3 linked regions of the Drosophila melanogaster genome follow. The protein of the gene in region 1 interacts with the protein of each later gene in a pairwise test. Each region holds a gene or a part of one and is shown in the gene's direction. Other genes may lie near its edges.

What was found. The genes of interacting proteins can lie anywhere in the genome.
Region 2: the proteins of CG16719 (region 1) and CG6688 interact in a two-hybrid assay, tested with the Drosophila melanogaster proteins (one large-scale study listed by BioGRID).
Region 3: the proteins of CG16719 (region 1) and CG9166 interact in a two-hybrid assay, tested with the Drosophila melanogaster proteins (one large-scale study listed by BioGRID).

The regions. Positions count from the first base shown.
Region 1 is NT_037436.4:9,683,328-9,686,773, forward strand, and holds CG16719 (uncharacterized protein), read left to right. Parts: upstream 1-1,843; 5' UTR 1,844-1,927; coding exon 1,928-2,743; 3' UTR 2,744-2,923; downstream 2,924-3,446. Other genes in the region: Prps (phosphoribosyl pyrophosphate synthetase), read right to left, coding at 1,039-1,131, 1,195-1,528, 1,594-1,718, 3,038-3,136.
Region 2 is NT_033777.3:23,010,605-23,016,011, forward strand, and holds CG6688 (uncharacterized protein), read left to right. Parts: upstream 1-1,807; 5' UTR 1,808-1,909; coding exon 1,910-2,068; intron 2,069-2,137; coding exon 2,138-2,206; intron 2,207-3,311; coding exon 3,312-3,434; intron 3,435-3,546; coding exon 3,547-4,470; 3' UTR 4,471-4,871; downstream 4,872-5,407.
Region 3 is NT_037436.4:1,349,581-1,353,389, forward strand, and holds CG9166 (uncharacterized protein), read left to right. Parts: upstream 1-1,535; 5' UTR 1,536-1,605; coding exon 1,606-1,891; intron 1,892-1,948; coding exon 1,949-2,209; intron 2,210-2,272; coding exon 2,273-2,451; 3' UTR 2,452-3,273; downstream 3,274-3,809. Other genes in the region: Ptp61F (protein tyrosine phosphatase 61F), read right to left, coding at 792-896.

The DNA.
Region 1 (3,446 bases):
CAATATCCAATAATTATGTGTAAATAAATTAACCAAGAGTTTGAATCATTATGAGTTTCTTTGGACAAGGGATGAGGATATGGTTTATAAGACCAGGATTTCAGTTAATTAAAGTTGGTTTAAGCATTTAAAGTAAAAGTAAACTAAAGATCCTATAACAATTATATTCGAGTACGAAAAAGAAAATATTCCCTTTTTATAGGACAATATCTAATCCTTCCACAAATCCAGTAAAAACACATTCTTGCATTAGTTTTCTGTAATATTTTTTTTTGTATTTTTTTCTTTAGTTTTATTTTTGTTGTTTGTTTGGTTGTTTATTATTTTTTAACGCCTATTTGCTATGTTCTTTTCAATTGTATTTTTTTGTTTTACTTAATTTTACTAGATTTTGTTTTGAACTTGCAAGTATTTTGCGTTTTTTTTTTCTTTATGAGCTTACAATAAAGAATCATCAAAAAGTTGTTGCACAGTGTAAAATTACAATTTTTTGTTGTTGTGTGTGTGGGTGTACATGTGGGTGTGTTTGTGTGAGTGTGTGTGTTTTGAGTGTATATCTTCTACGGTGTTAATCTACAAATCTAAATTTCTCTCTAAGAGCAGGCCAATGTTTACACCAATCAACTGGGAATTTATCGTTCGTGTTAACTTGTAAAATCAGAAAACGGCAAAAAGTTTGTTTAAACAAAGAACTTACTATACAAAAGGAAAGGCATTGCATTTGTGTACTTTTGTATTGTTTTTTGCGGTATTTAGTGTTATTTTTTATGCTCCTATTTAGTATAATTACACAATGACGATTTCCCATCTACTGAGTTTGCATTTACTTTAATTACAATAGTTAATCCATAAAAAATATATAACGATGATGATGGCAAAATATGTGGTTTCGAATTGTTGTGTTTGTGTTGAAAATTGCATTACAAATTGCTATTAAAGTGGGTTTTTTTCTCTTTTCATTTTGCTGTGGCTTGCTAACGGTGTTCTGGTTGCTGTTTTATCAAACGTTTGCTGGTTTTTCTGCCGATTGTTTGTTGTTTAGTATGGAACATTTGAGAAGAGATACGAGACACTCTCGCCGTTGTGTGTCCTTCTGACGGCCTCGGCGAACATCATCGAGACATCAATGCACTGAGAAAAAAAAAATAAAAATTATATTCACATCTAAAGAAGCATATATATGATATAACCCACCTGGATTTTGGGACAGTCCCGCATGTGTCCATCCTGCGGTATGGTATTGGTCACCACTACCGCCTCGAAACAGGCATTATTGATCCGCGAGATCGCCGGACCCGAGAAAATGCCATGCGTCAGAATAGCATACACCTTGGTGGCTCCCGCCTCCACCAGGCGATCGGCGGCATGCACAATGGTGCCGCATGTGTCGGCCATGTCATCGACCAGAATGGCAATCTTGTCCTTGACATCACCCACCAGTACCATAGAGGCCACTTCGTTGGCCTTCTTGCGCTCCTTGTGTATCAGAGCGAACTCCACGTTCAGTCGATCGGCAATTGAGGTGACACTTAAAGTGAAATATTAATAGCATTATTAATCTATTACGCATATGGATTAAAGACTGCAACTAACCGCTTGGCACCGCCAGCATCGGGCGACACAATGATCGAGTTCTTCCACTCGGGAATGTTCTCCTTGATCCACTTGAGTACCGCCGGCTCGGCATAGAGATTATCAACTGGTATATCAAAGAAGCCCTGCGAATGGAGAATTTATCGAATGAGTTTTAATTTAGCCATCCAGTAGTCATTGCCAGTTGACACAGCTGCCAGTCATTGGCAGAGAGTATGTCTATCAAGCATTATTGTCTGAAACATATATGGAAGCTAGACTTGCCAAAATAAATTTACAACAGAAATTAAAAAGCAGGTAAAATCCGAAAACCCCAAATCACCCCTTGCTAAGTATGGAGAACGAACAGCAGAATGACCTGAACCAGTGGCTAAAGGAGCAGCGCATTATCCTGGATCTGAAAGCTCGTCGTTCATTCTCCGATGTCTTGCCGGTGGCAAAGATTGTCAAGCGCAGTCATCCTCGTCTGGTGGATCTGCACAACTATACGCCCAAGAGCAGCGTGGCCCTGAAACTCCAGAGCTGGCAGACCTTCAATCAGAAGGTACTGAAGAAATTGGGCATCAATTTGACACGTTCGGAGCTGGAGCAGCTGGCGTCAGCAGCGCCAGGAGCCATAGAATCACTGTTCCATGAACTAATCGCGGTGACCAAGTGCGCTAGTCCCAGACCAAGACCCCGTCTGAGTGTATCGCCAACGAGCTCCCAAAAGAGCGTGGTGATTAAAAAGTTGGCTAACAAGAATTCTGTGGTACGCACTCTCAACCGATCCCTCACCCAAGTGATTGAGCGCTCCTGCTCGATCGATAGTCAACCCCAGGTGCTGACCATGGACGTGAATGTTGTGGTCAATGGACAGATGAAGAAGGTATCCAAGAAAGTGGTCGAGTACGAACACTATGCCAATGCTATTAGGGAGAGTGCCGAGAAGTCACGCTACATCAATTCCATTGCCGAGAGGGCCAATCACCTGGAGAACACAATTGCCCTCAAGAATGAACGTATTGATGTGCTACTCCATCAAATGGCCAAACTATCCGTGAGCATTCTATCCATGCCACACACCCTCAACGGGACCGATGACGACACAGAGCTTCAATCCCGGTCTGACAACGCCGCCGAACCCTGCTATGAATTCGGCACCTTTTAGCCAACGGATGGATTTGTCGGTTCTCCGAGGATCCGGCGAGATTATAGCTCCTCTTTTGATTCAAACCTGATGTTATTGGATATATTTGTACTGTATATTTTGTAATTTATTTTAAACCCTTAAATAAGTATTTCTTTGGCCTCACTTTAATAAACAAAAATTGTTACGTCGTTCAAAAGGAAAATCACACTTTCTTTATCGTAATTAATTGACTGATATACAAATCGCGGCACGATAAGAAATCACTCTAATATCAAAGATAAATATACAAATGTTGTTGATGGGCTGACTTACCTGAATCTGTGAGGCGTGCAGATCCATGGTGATGATGTGATCCGCTCCAGCAACGGACAGCATGTTGGCCACCAATTTGGCCGAGATGGGCGCACGACTCTGTGCATTGGCCAGCGTAGAAAGAGATGCAAAGGAGAGGTTTCCATTAGCGCAACTAGTAGTCAAGTTTATATCTTAAGGCTAGGCATTTATGAGGAGGTAGTAGTAGTAGTAAATCATGGAAATCAAAACCGAACATGGACCGAACAACACATATGTATAGAGACAGAAATCAACAAAGAGAGGTTAACGTTCCAATAGATTGCATATGAAGAAGATACATAATTCATGGACAGAATAGAGAATTCAGTTGCGACAACACAAAGGACACAAATGTGATTCGGTGCAGCAGAACCTGGGAAATAATGAT
Region 2 (5,407 bases), on another chromosome or scaffold:
TGGCTTAAAGCGAGCGCCACCTGTGGGCAGAGCTTTGCACTTGGCTTCAGCGAGCTTTTCATCGTTTTATTTTGTTTTTTGGAAACCGCATCTACTGGCCACAAACAAGTCGAGAGCCAATAGTGTGAAGAGGCGGAATTGCACTTGAATTTGGCCATTTGCCTTTGGGCCCGGCCTAATTGCTGGCCGATTAATAAAAGTCAATTACCTTTCAGGTGGATGGCTTTCCGAGAAACATGAATTTCGATGTTATTGCCTGGGTAAGTATTCTCTAATTTTGACACTGCTGACGGCTTTTGGCTGCCGAACGCTTCTGCGTGCCACATAAATTTGGCCAAATCTAATTGAACTGGCAAATTGAAAAGCCAAAAACAAATTACACACACACACACCACGCACCACAATGCCGCCCAGGGTCAGTTTTGCTGGGCGCAAATTTAAATGAAATTACCAATTTCAATGCTATTTGGCCAATGTTTTAGACGACCAGAGCAGCGCCAAACTCAAATTACCGCCTCAATGGCAGTTAAACCGGCGATAACAAAACAACAAAAAAGCGAAAGTCAAATGGATGTCGATGGTTTGGCCATGCCAAACCAAATCCATTTGTCAGCTGCCAATTTCCATCAGTTATCATTGTTAGGGTTAATCGACGAGCCGGTTTTAGACCCAATTATTTATTTAGGGCCCCATTGTTTATGTTTATCGCCGTTTGACACCCTAGTGCGGTGCCAACACACTCGTCGTTGTTGTTTTAATTTCTTTTGGCATTTCGAATAATAATATTTTGGTTTACTTGCTGGCCACTCAATCGCAAATGCACTGGCCATTTGACACTGCCAACACGCAATTAAGCCGAAAAATAGTGCTGTTTATTTTCAAATTTAATTACAAAGTCGGAAAACTTTTAAAGTCAACAAATGGGAATTAAACTGATTAAGTTTCGTGTGCATTACTGCTAATAGCGATTTTATCTGATTACGATTTGTGCCAAAACCGTAACCAAACTGTATAAATATACAATTTAACACTTAATTTGCAGGTCTTGTTCAGTTTATTTTGGCTATTTATATTTGTTTGGGCTGTTTTGCTATATTTACCTTAATAGTTTTAATCTCTAGTAACAAAACATGGTATAAGTGATAAGCGCAGCTTTATTGTTTTCAATTTAAGAGAAATAGCAGAAGGTTTCCATGAAAAGCGAAGAGAAATAGCCGAAGGTTTCTATGAAAACTATTGTATTTGGCCATGTTCTCGATTTCACTTCCGCACAATTGTAGCAGCCTGCACATTCGAACCAACTAATTTACCAGGTTATCAAATGACTTAATCGCTGAAGAATTTGTTTATTTATTCGGTATATTTGAAGGTGTCACAATACGTAGACATGCAACTTTATAGCGCACCCAAAAACCGCTGCCAGCCCGAAAGTTCAAATATTTACTTAGCTCCACAAGTCTCATTTCCATGATCTCAGCTGGGTGTCAGCTTTGGATCTCGGAACTCAGATCTCAGATCTCCGATCTCGAATTCCGAATCTCGGATCTTGAACCGCAGCCACATTTTGGCGCCGAGCACTTACAACACCGCGTCAGATGGCCCAAAGTCATTAAGTTGTGGAAGGGGTTAAATGTGTGATGCTGGGGAGCTTGGCCAAAATGTTTGTCGTAGCCGATTGCGTCGGCCCAAAGCGCTCCATGTTCACTGCTCGCCGCTCGGCAACTTTTCAGCCAGCCAGCCAGCCAGCCAGCCACATACACCAGCCAGCCAGCTGGCTCGAAAAAAAATCAACAGACAGACGAAAAACAGTTTGCCAACTGAGAGCGCACGTTGAACACGTCTCTCGCTAGCCGCTTTTTATTTTGGCCCACAACGATCCGAGCACCTGTGCGAGTTTTCTAGCCCGAAAATGAGGAAATCAGCGGGAGGATTTCATTCCACATCCAATGAAGATGGGCAGCATGGCGATGGCTCCTCCGTGCGACTACTGAGAATTCCCAGAGCCGCACCTGCGATGGAGAACTACGGATTTCAGCTGACCCGCAGCAAATGGGATCCCTATCCCTGGGTAATAAAAGTGGCCATCGTTTGGAGATCCCGTCCCCTCCTAATTACCATATACCCATTACACCGACAGGTTTGCGAAGTGGCAGCCGGCACACCTGCCGCTCTCTGCGGCCTGAAACCCGGCGATTGCGTTCTGGAGGTGAGTAGAAGTTAGTGCCACAGGTTGGTGCCACCGTTGTCAGTTCTTTCAGCTCTCAGCCAGCAATGGACTGGCGGATTATGCACAGCGCAGACCAACTGCATTGGTAACTAAACTGCATTGGTAACTCAATCTGCGCCTGAACTCCAGTTACAAAATTAAGAATGCAATAGATCGACGCGGGGATTTACTTTGTAAACCTATTAAGAGCTTATTGAGACTGCTACTCAGGTTCCCAACTATGTGCATTCCACTTAGGATAGAAGAAAACAGAGTTTGAGGAACCCATTAAAATTATAATATATTTATAATCAGAAAAAAGTTCCTTTTGTTAGCTAACAGCTAGAAAAATAATGTAGTTTTTGTTGTAAAGCTAATTATGTATACTTGCGAGTTTTCAAGTCAATAAGTTCTACAAATTTGTGTGAATCGTAAGTTAAGATAAAAAGTACTATTCAGGAAAGCATTCCAATATGATGATTTGCACTTCTAGAAACAAATTCAAATCGCTATGGTCTTTTAAATTACGAATAGCTTGAGCTATGGAAGTTGGACCGTACATATATCCAAGTCTGGACTTTGCAGCCGCTATTGTAGCCGCATTTGTTGTTCTTCGTGGATATTGTTTACTTAAAATAGCAATGCAGTAAAACTTAATTGCTCGGCATCGACTTTATTTAGAAACTTTATTGGATGTGGAGTGGGGAACTAGAAACAGCTGGTGAATGCACAGCCCGCCCTAAAACTAATGACACAACTCGAACGTAGTAAAACAACTAGTTGATGACAAAGATTAATTAGCACGAAGTAAATATTCAAAGCAAATATCAGTTATCAGATAACAGATAACAGCCAATTGAGTTAACAGTGCTAGCTAAGGTTAACATCCGCAAGCAGTGCGTGCGATACAGCCGCAAGCAGTGCTTTCGAATTTGTAATTGTGTTGGCCATATTTTGTGGTATTCATTTGTTTTCTTTGGTAGCTCGTGGAAATCCAAATATTTAGATACTTGGTACTTGCTTTCTGTATGGCACTTATTTCCTAAAATAAATAAACAACATTTCCAGACATTTTCTATAAAATTCTATAATATTTTATTTCCAGGTAAATGGCAACGATGTTTTAGGCTTGAGAGTGTCTGAAATCGCCAAAATGGTGAAGAGTCAAAAGGACTGCGTCACAATTCTCTGTTGGAACAGTGAATGTGATAAGGACTGTGATACTAATGTGAGTATTTTCATTGCAGTCCTGAAATCCTTCTTTAAACCATCAAACACACTCAGTTATCCGTTCCCCATTAAAATCGCGCTAACACAATATTTTTTTCAAAAATCCATAGAGCATCTGCTGCGCCCCCATGCCCACCAGTTTGCGCCGCCTGTCCCTCGTCCTGGAGAGCATCCTGCGCCTCGTCGAGTGTCCTGTCTGCGGGGTGACCATCTCACCGCCGGCGATGCAGTGCCAAAACGGACACCTGCTCTGCGTGGACTGTCGCATCCGCTCGGAGCGATGTCCTGTCTGCCGGGACTTCTACACTCCCCGCCGAGCGCTGTTGGCGGAGCAAATTTTCCTGACCATTGCCAACGCCTTCGAGATGTGCCGCTCGGAGAACAAGCTGCGGCAGAAGCTCTTTGCCGGGATAACACGGCCAGTCGTGGGCCGACAGGACAGGATAACCGGACAGGACACCTGGCGAAAGCGCAGGCCAGTGCTGCCAACGAACAAGTTCCTAACCAAGTTGCTTGAGGGCTGCGCCTACTCGACGGATAACCTCAGTCCCTCGAATGCCGCTACTCTGCTGCGGACTAATACCACGGACGTCGCTGGCGACTCCAGTGAAATCCCGGCCAGAACATCGCCAGTGACAGCCACGCCCCCCGAAAGGACAACAATGCATGCCACGCTTGACGCGAATGCGGCGCATCCTTCACTCTCGACGAATGATTTACAGCAGGAAGGAGTTAAGCCGAATGCCGAGGGCGTTGACGAGGAATCCGGAACGAACAGCAGCCACATCTCTGCCACATCCTTGCATGGCCCTCCGCTACCAGCCTCCGTTAGCCCGGGCATCAATGAATCTTCCGGATTGCAACCCGTTCGCATACCTCCTGTCACTCCAAGCCAAGATTTGCCCCAGCAGGTTGTCCAAACTAAGCCGGCCTCGCTGTTGTACCGCTGTCCCTGCAAGCTGCAGGATCCACAGGATCCTGCAAAGGACCTCCACCAGAACTGCTGCTACAAATCCGCTTTCCGTCTGCTTTGAGCTCGGGCATCTCAATCAACAGCATCCTCTTATCAGGCGCGTCCCCAATTCGCCCCCCGCCCCTCTTGCTGTTTTCCTTTCTAATTAAATTAAATGCCAGTTGCTTGGCCAAAGTTGCTTATCGCGCAAAGAAACGAACCCGGCCAAAGGAATTGTATGGGTGTCAGGCCGGGACAAAGGCCCACGCTGGAGATGCAAAGAAGTTGGTCCAGCTAACTGCAGCGAAGAGTTCAACTTGGCCAAGTTGAGTTCTAATTGAATCACTCCTGAACGCTCCAATGACTTTGTGTCATTTGGCGTCCGAGTTGGTCAGCTCGATAATGAAGTCCGGATGGACTGCATTCAGGGAGCGTCGCAAGAGGAATAAAAATATTTTAAGTCAATTGGACTTTGTGCAAATGATCAATAGAATATGCAACATTATTTGAGTACTTGTTCATTCTAAAATCCTTTTCCCACTGCATACTCAAGGGCACAAAGTACAAACATTTCTCGCAGTGCAGTGCAACTTATGACTGCTGACGGCGACGCCACGCGCAGATGCAGGTCAATCAGTGGCAAAGTGAAGGATGCCGGACAAGCGCGTAATGAGCTTTATTTGTCATCGGGAGCAGGCATGGAACCTGTCCAGTCCCTGGTTTCTTGGTCCTGGTGGTTCCTGATGGCCCCATAATGACAGCCGCAGTTGGACAGCCATTATGCCGGCCGTTTACCATTTAATATTGATGCCGGACGAACCGCATCAATGGAGGAGCGAGCAACGCCAGCAACAGGCTTCAGTTACTCCAAACCGCATTCTTCCTATCGCTGCAGAATGGCCTCCCGCTGCTTCTTCGCCGGAGCGAGGCTGCCATGAAAATGTCATCAAAACAGGAAGTGGCAGTTTAATTTAAGCGCGTTAATTGAATTTTATTTTCTGCTTTGTTGATGTGCCGAA
Region 3 (3,809 bases), 8.3 Mb from region 1:
GAGAGGATTCCGACTCCAATTCCGACAGGCAACCAGAAGCAGCCCAAAGCGAGACTCAAAAAACCAGACGCATGCCCTTTGTGCCCCTGTGTGCGTGAGCCTCTCTCTCCTGCTCAACGCGAGCGGGTGTGTGTGTGTGTGCGCGCGTTAGAGGAGTTCTTCAGTGGAGAGCACTGTCACCCCTCCACGAATTGTATTTTGTTTTTGGGGGACGGCAATCACAAACACAACGAGCTTCCCAGAAATCGCCTCCAATTTGATTTGGCCAAACGAGAATTCGCGGAATAGCTCAAGCGCTCTATTGATAGTCAAAGGAAAGCGTTTTTGGGGAAAGGTATGGCAGAATAACAAGCATAAATATGCCAAATACAGGCCAATACACACGCACGAACTCACACACACACGCGTTCGATGGAGAATGCAAAGTAAAGTGCAGCAGGTGTGCGTGTATGTGTGTTGGTGCTATTCTGTTTGTACATTCTTTTCCATGGGTTTTTGTTTTTGGCCAAAGCCTGGCTGTTAAAGCAACAACTGCAACAACAACAGCACTGACACACAATACACACGCACACACGTAAAGCTCGCCGCTGCACTGGTGTTGGTGGTGGAGGCATCTGCAGAAGCCTTTTGCGCACTCATCACATTTTCGTGGAAATCGGAGCGCCAAGGAGCTGTGGAAAGGTGTATACTCCGCATCCGTTGCGAATCCTTGGCGAATCGAACTGTGCCACAATCATTCGTCCAGTTTGTAACCAGTTTTCAGTGCAGTCGCAGTTGTTGTTGCCAATTACCTTGTAGAAGCGATGCCATTGCGGCCCCTTGTCCTTGTACTCCGCCTCGATTTGCAGACGGGCAGCGGCCGCCGACCCACTCCCACTCGTTTTCTGCTCGCTCATTGTGCACACTTTGCTGCGATTTGTTCCGATTTAATAACTTTTAATTTGGTTATCAGGCGGCTGGTTAATTTCAGAGGAGAACTAGAGCTGGACAACTCACGACAGTGTCGATGTATCGAATATTTGAGCTTGCGAAATACTATCGGTATTTGCAGTGCGATACCGAGTGATAGTTCGATTGTACATCACTATATTGATCGCATTACATATTATATTCTCTTATGGTGATTCCTATTTACAAATGCAAGCCAAACACAATATATTGTATCTGCGACATTATTATTCTGAAATATTAGTTACGTCTATCGATATTTTCACCATCAAATAATGTGACCAGGCGCTGTAGAGCAATAGAACACATACTGAAACTAAAGTGCTTGCGCAGAAATTAGAACTTTACTGAAACATAATATAACATTCGGGATAAGTTTTCTATAATTTATATAAAATTAAATACTTAACTAAAGACATAACAATATAAAAACAATTGAAATAAAATATTTTAAATAAAAATAAAATAAAAAAAATAAAATAAAATATTTTAAAAGTAAAATAGAAAAATTCTGATAAGAAAATTGGGTTCAAATACTTTAAAATACCGATATTACAATCGCTCATCGTTGACCAGTGTTATCGAGTAATACCAAAAGTATCGAATCAACAACTGTTACCCAATTTATTAATAACAACAGAAAGAAGCCAAAGCAAAATGCTGACCCGCGTGTTCCGCCTAGTGCACGACAGGCGCCTGAGTGTGCCTGTCCTGCGTTGCTTCCACCACGAGTTCTCCAAGCCGCCACAACAGGCAGCGAAGGGCCAGGAAATCGAAGGCAATCCCGAAAAGACTTTGGTTGCCGGCGTGCAAGACAAGTACAAAATATTCCGCGATGAGGAAGCCACGGAGATTTTTGATGTGGAAGAGGCACGCCACCAGGAGCAGCAACTTCCAGAGCCGGACCTGGAGCTGGATCACTATTACGGCCTCAATTTAAAGCGTAGGTTGGCAATCGTCCAGGGAGAGCAGAAATTTAAGCCTTTGTTTCCCTTTGCAGGAGGTGTTCGCGGAGTGTTCGACGTTGAGGACTTGGTGGAGCTGCTCCGCAAGGAGAATGTGGACGACATATTCGTCTGCTACGTGCCGGAGAACCTGAAGTACGTTGACCACCTGGTGGTTTGCAGTGGTCGCAGTTACCGACACATGCTGTCCACCGCGGAGTTCGTGCGCCGAATGTTCAAGATCAAGCGGGGCAAGGGTGACATATTGCCGCGCATCGAGGGCGATAAGAGCCGGGATTGGATGGCCATGGACTTGGGTGGGTATTGAAATAAATGCATATTCCGGTTTCTCCGCTCTAACACGTTCCGTTTCCTTTTAGGCAACATTGCCCTGCACATATTTTCACCGAGTGCTCGCGAGGAATACGATCTGGAGTCGCTGTGGGCCATTGGCTCCGAATTCGACCGCGAAAGCCAAAAACCCACCAATCCCTATGGCGATATTTTCATGGCTCAAACACCCCTTTCTTTCGTAGACAAATCGAAACTAAAGACGTAAAATAATACATTTCACTATTAATAAAAAAAAACTCTTTAGAGCTGCGTACGTGCGAGATCACTTGCAGTGTGATTTGGAAAAACAATAAGGTATGAATAAATATTTCGTGTCAGACTTGTTATTCTCGTGTCACGGCCAAAATAACTATGCGATCGCCCATCTCTAGTTTCTTACTGGGTGCATTCGCTCAGGCAGCCATCTTTAAAATAACTGTAATTTTTATTAACATCGAGCTCTAATAGGGCAATAATAGCCATAATCCGTCAGAATATGACAGCAGTATTTCCAAACAGGAGCTAAATTCTTTTGTAGATGGCCAAGCGACGCTAGCGCCACCTATTTCTGAAAATCTGATAATAACAAGTGCGCACTAAAGTATACTGCAAAAAATGAAAATAACTCTTCTTTTCAGAGAATAAAGGCAGATTCCCTTATATCTATGAAATGTCACAATCAAATTGTTATATATTTGATATGTGATGTATTTTAATTTGTCTTTATCGAATATTGTCGGTATATCTGGTTGTAGCAACGCGTCGGAACATTTTCTCCATTCAACTGGAAGATGCAACAATAGACAGTTAATCCTGTAATTTAGGGTTTTAATAACTTTAAGAAGCCGTACAGTTTGATAGATAACAAATTGTAATAAAAACGCAAAATAATATATTATGAACCAGAAAGCATTCCAATGATTTTATACTTCACAATCGAATTTCCCATTCATTCAGAGAAAGCCATTAAACTCAAATCTCAATGGCTCGAATATATCCTGCGGCGTTTTTTAACGACTGTTTGCTCAAAATATAAATACGCCCACTCAACGATGTTCATTGTGTTTTTATAGTCATCGGGCGAGGTGTGAACAAGGCTGTTTTCAGCACATTGATTTGTGGATTTGCACCGGCCAGCGGAATGCTGAATGAAATTGGAAAATCAGGGAACTAGGGTCCAAGAAGGAGATCCTCCTGGCATTTGGAAATCATTTCTTCGCAGGCCATCAGCGCCAGTTGCGTCACGAGGAGAATTCGAACTTAATATTTTTAAAATACGTTTTCGAAAATAAGTTATCGATGGTGTTTATGAAAACAAACAATGGCCAGTCCGGCGAACGGTGCGATAATCCAATGAGCCAAAGAGCCAGACGGACGCCAATTGGCCGACACATGATAGGCGTTAAATTTTATGAAATTGCTGAAAATCTTGAAATGCCAATTAACGGCTTTAATACAATTTGTCGACGTCAATCAGCAATGATGGAGCAGCGAGTGGAGTGAGGAGGATTGGGCTACGGCCGCTCGTTTCACTTTTCCACTTGGCCATGTGATGTGATATGGGAGGAACTTTCCGCTGGGGGA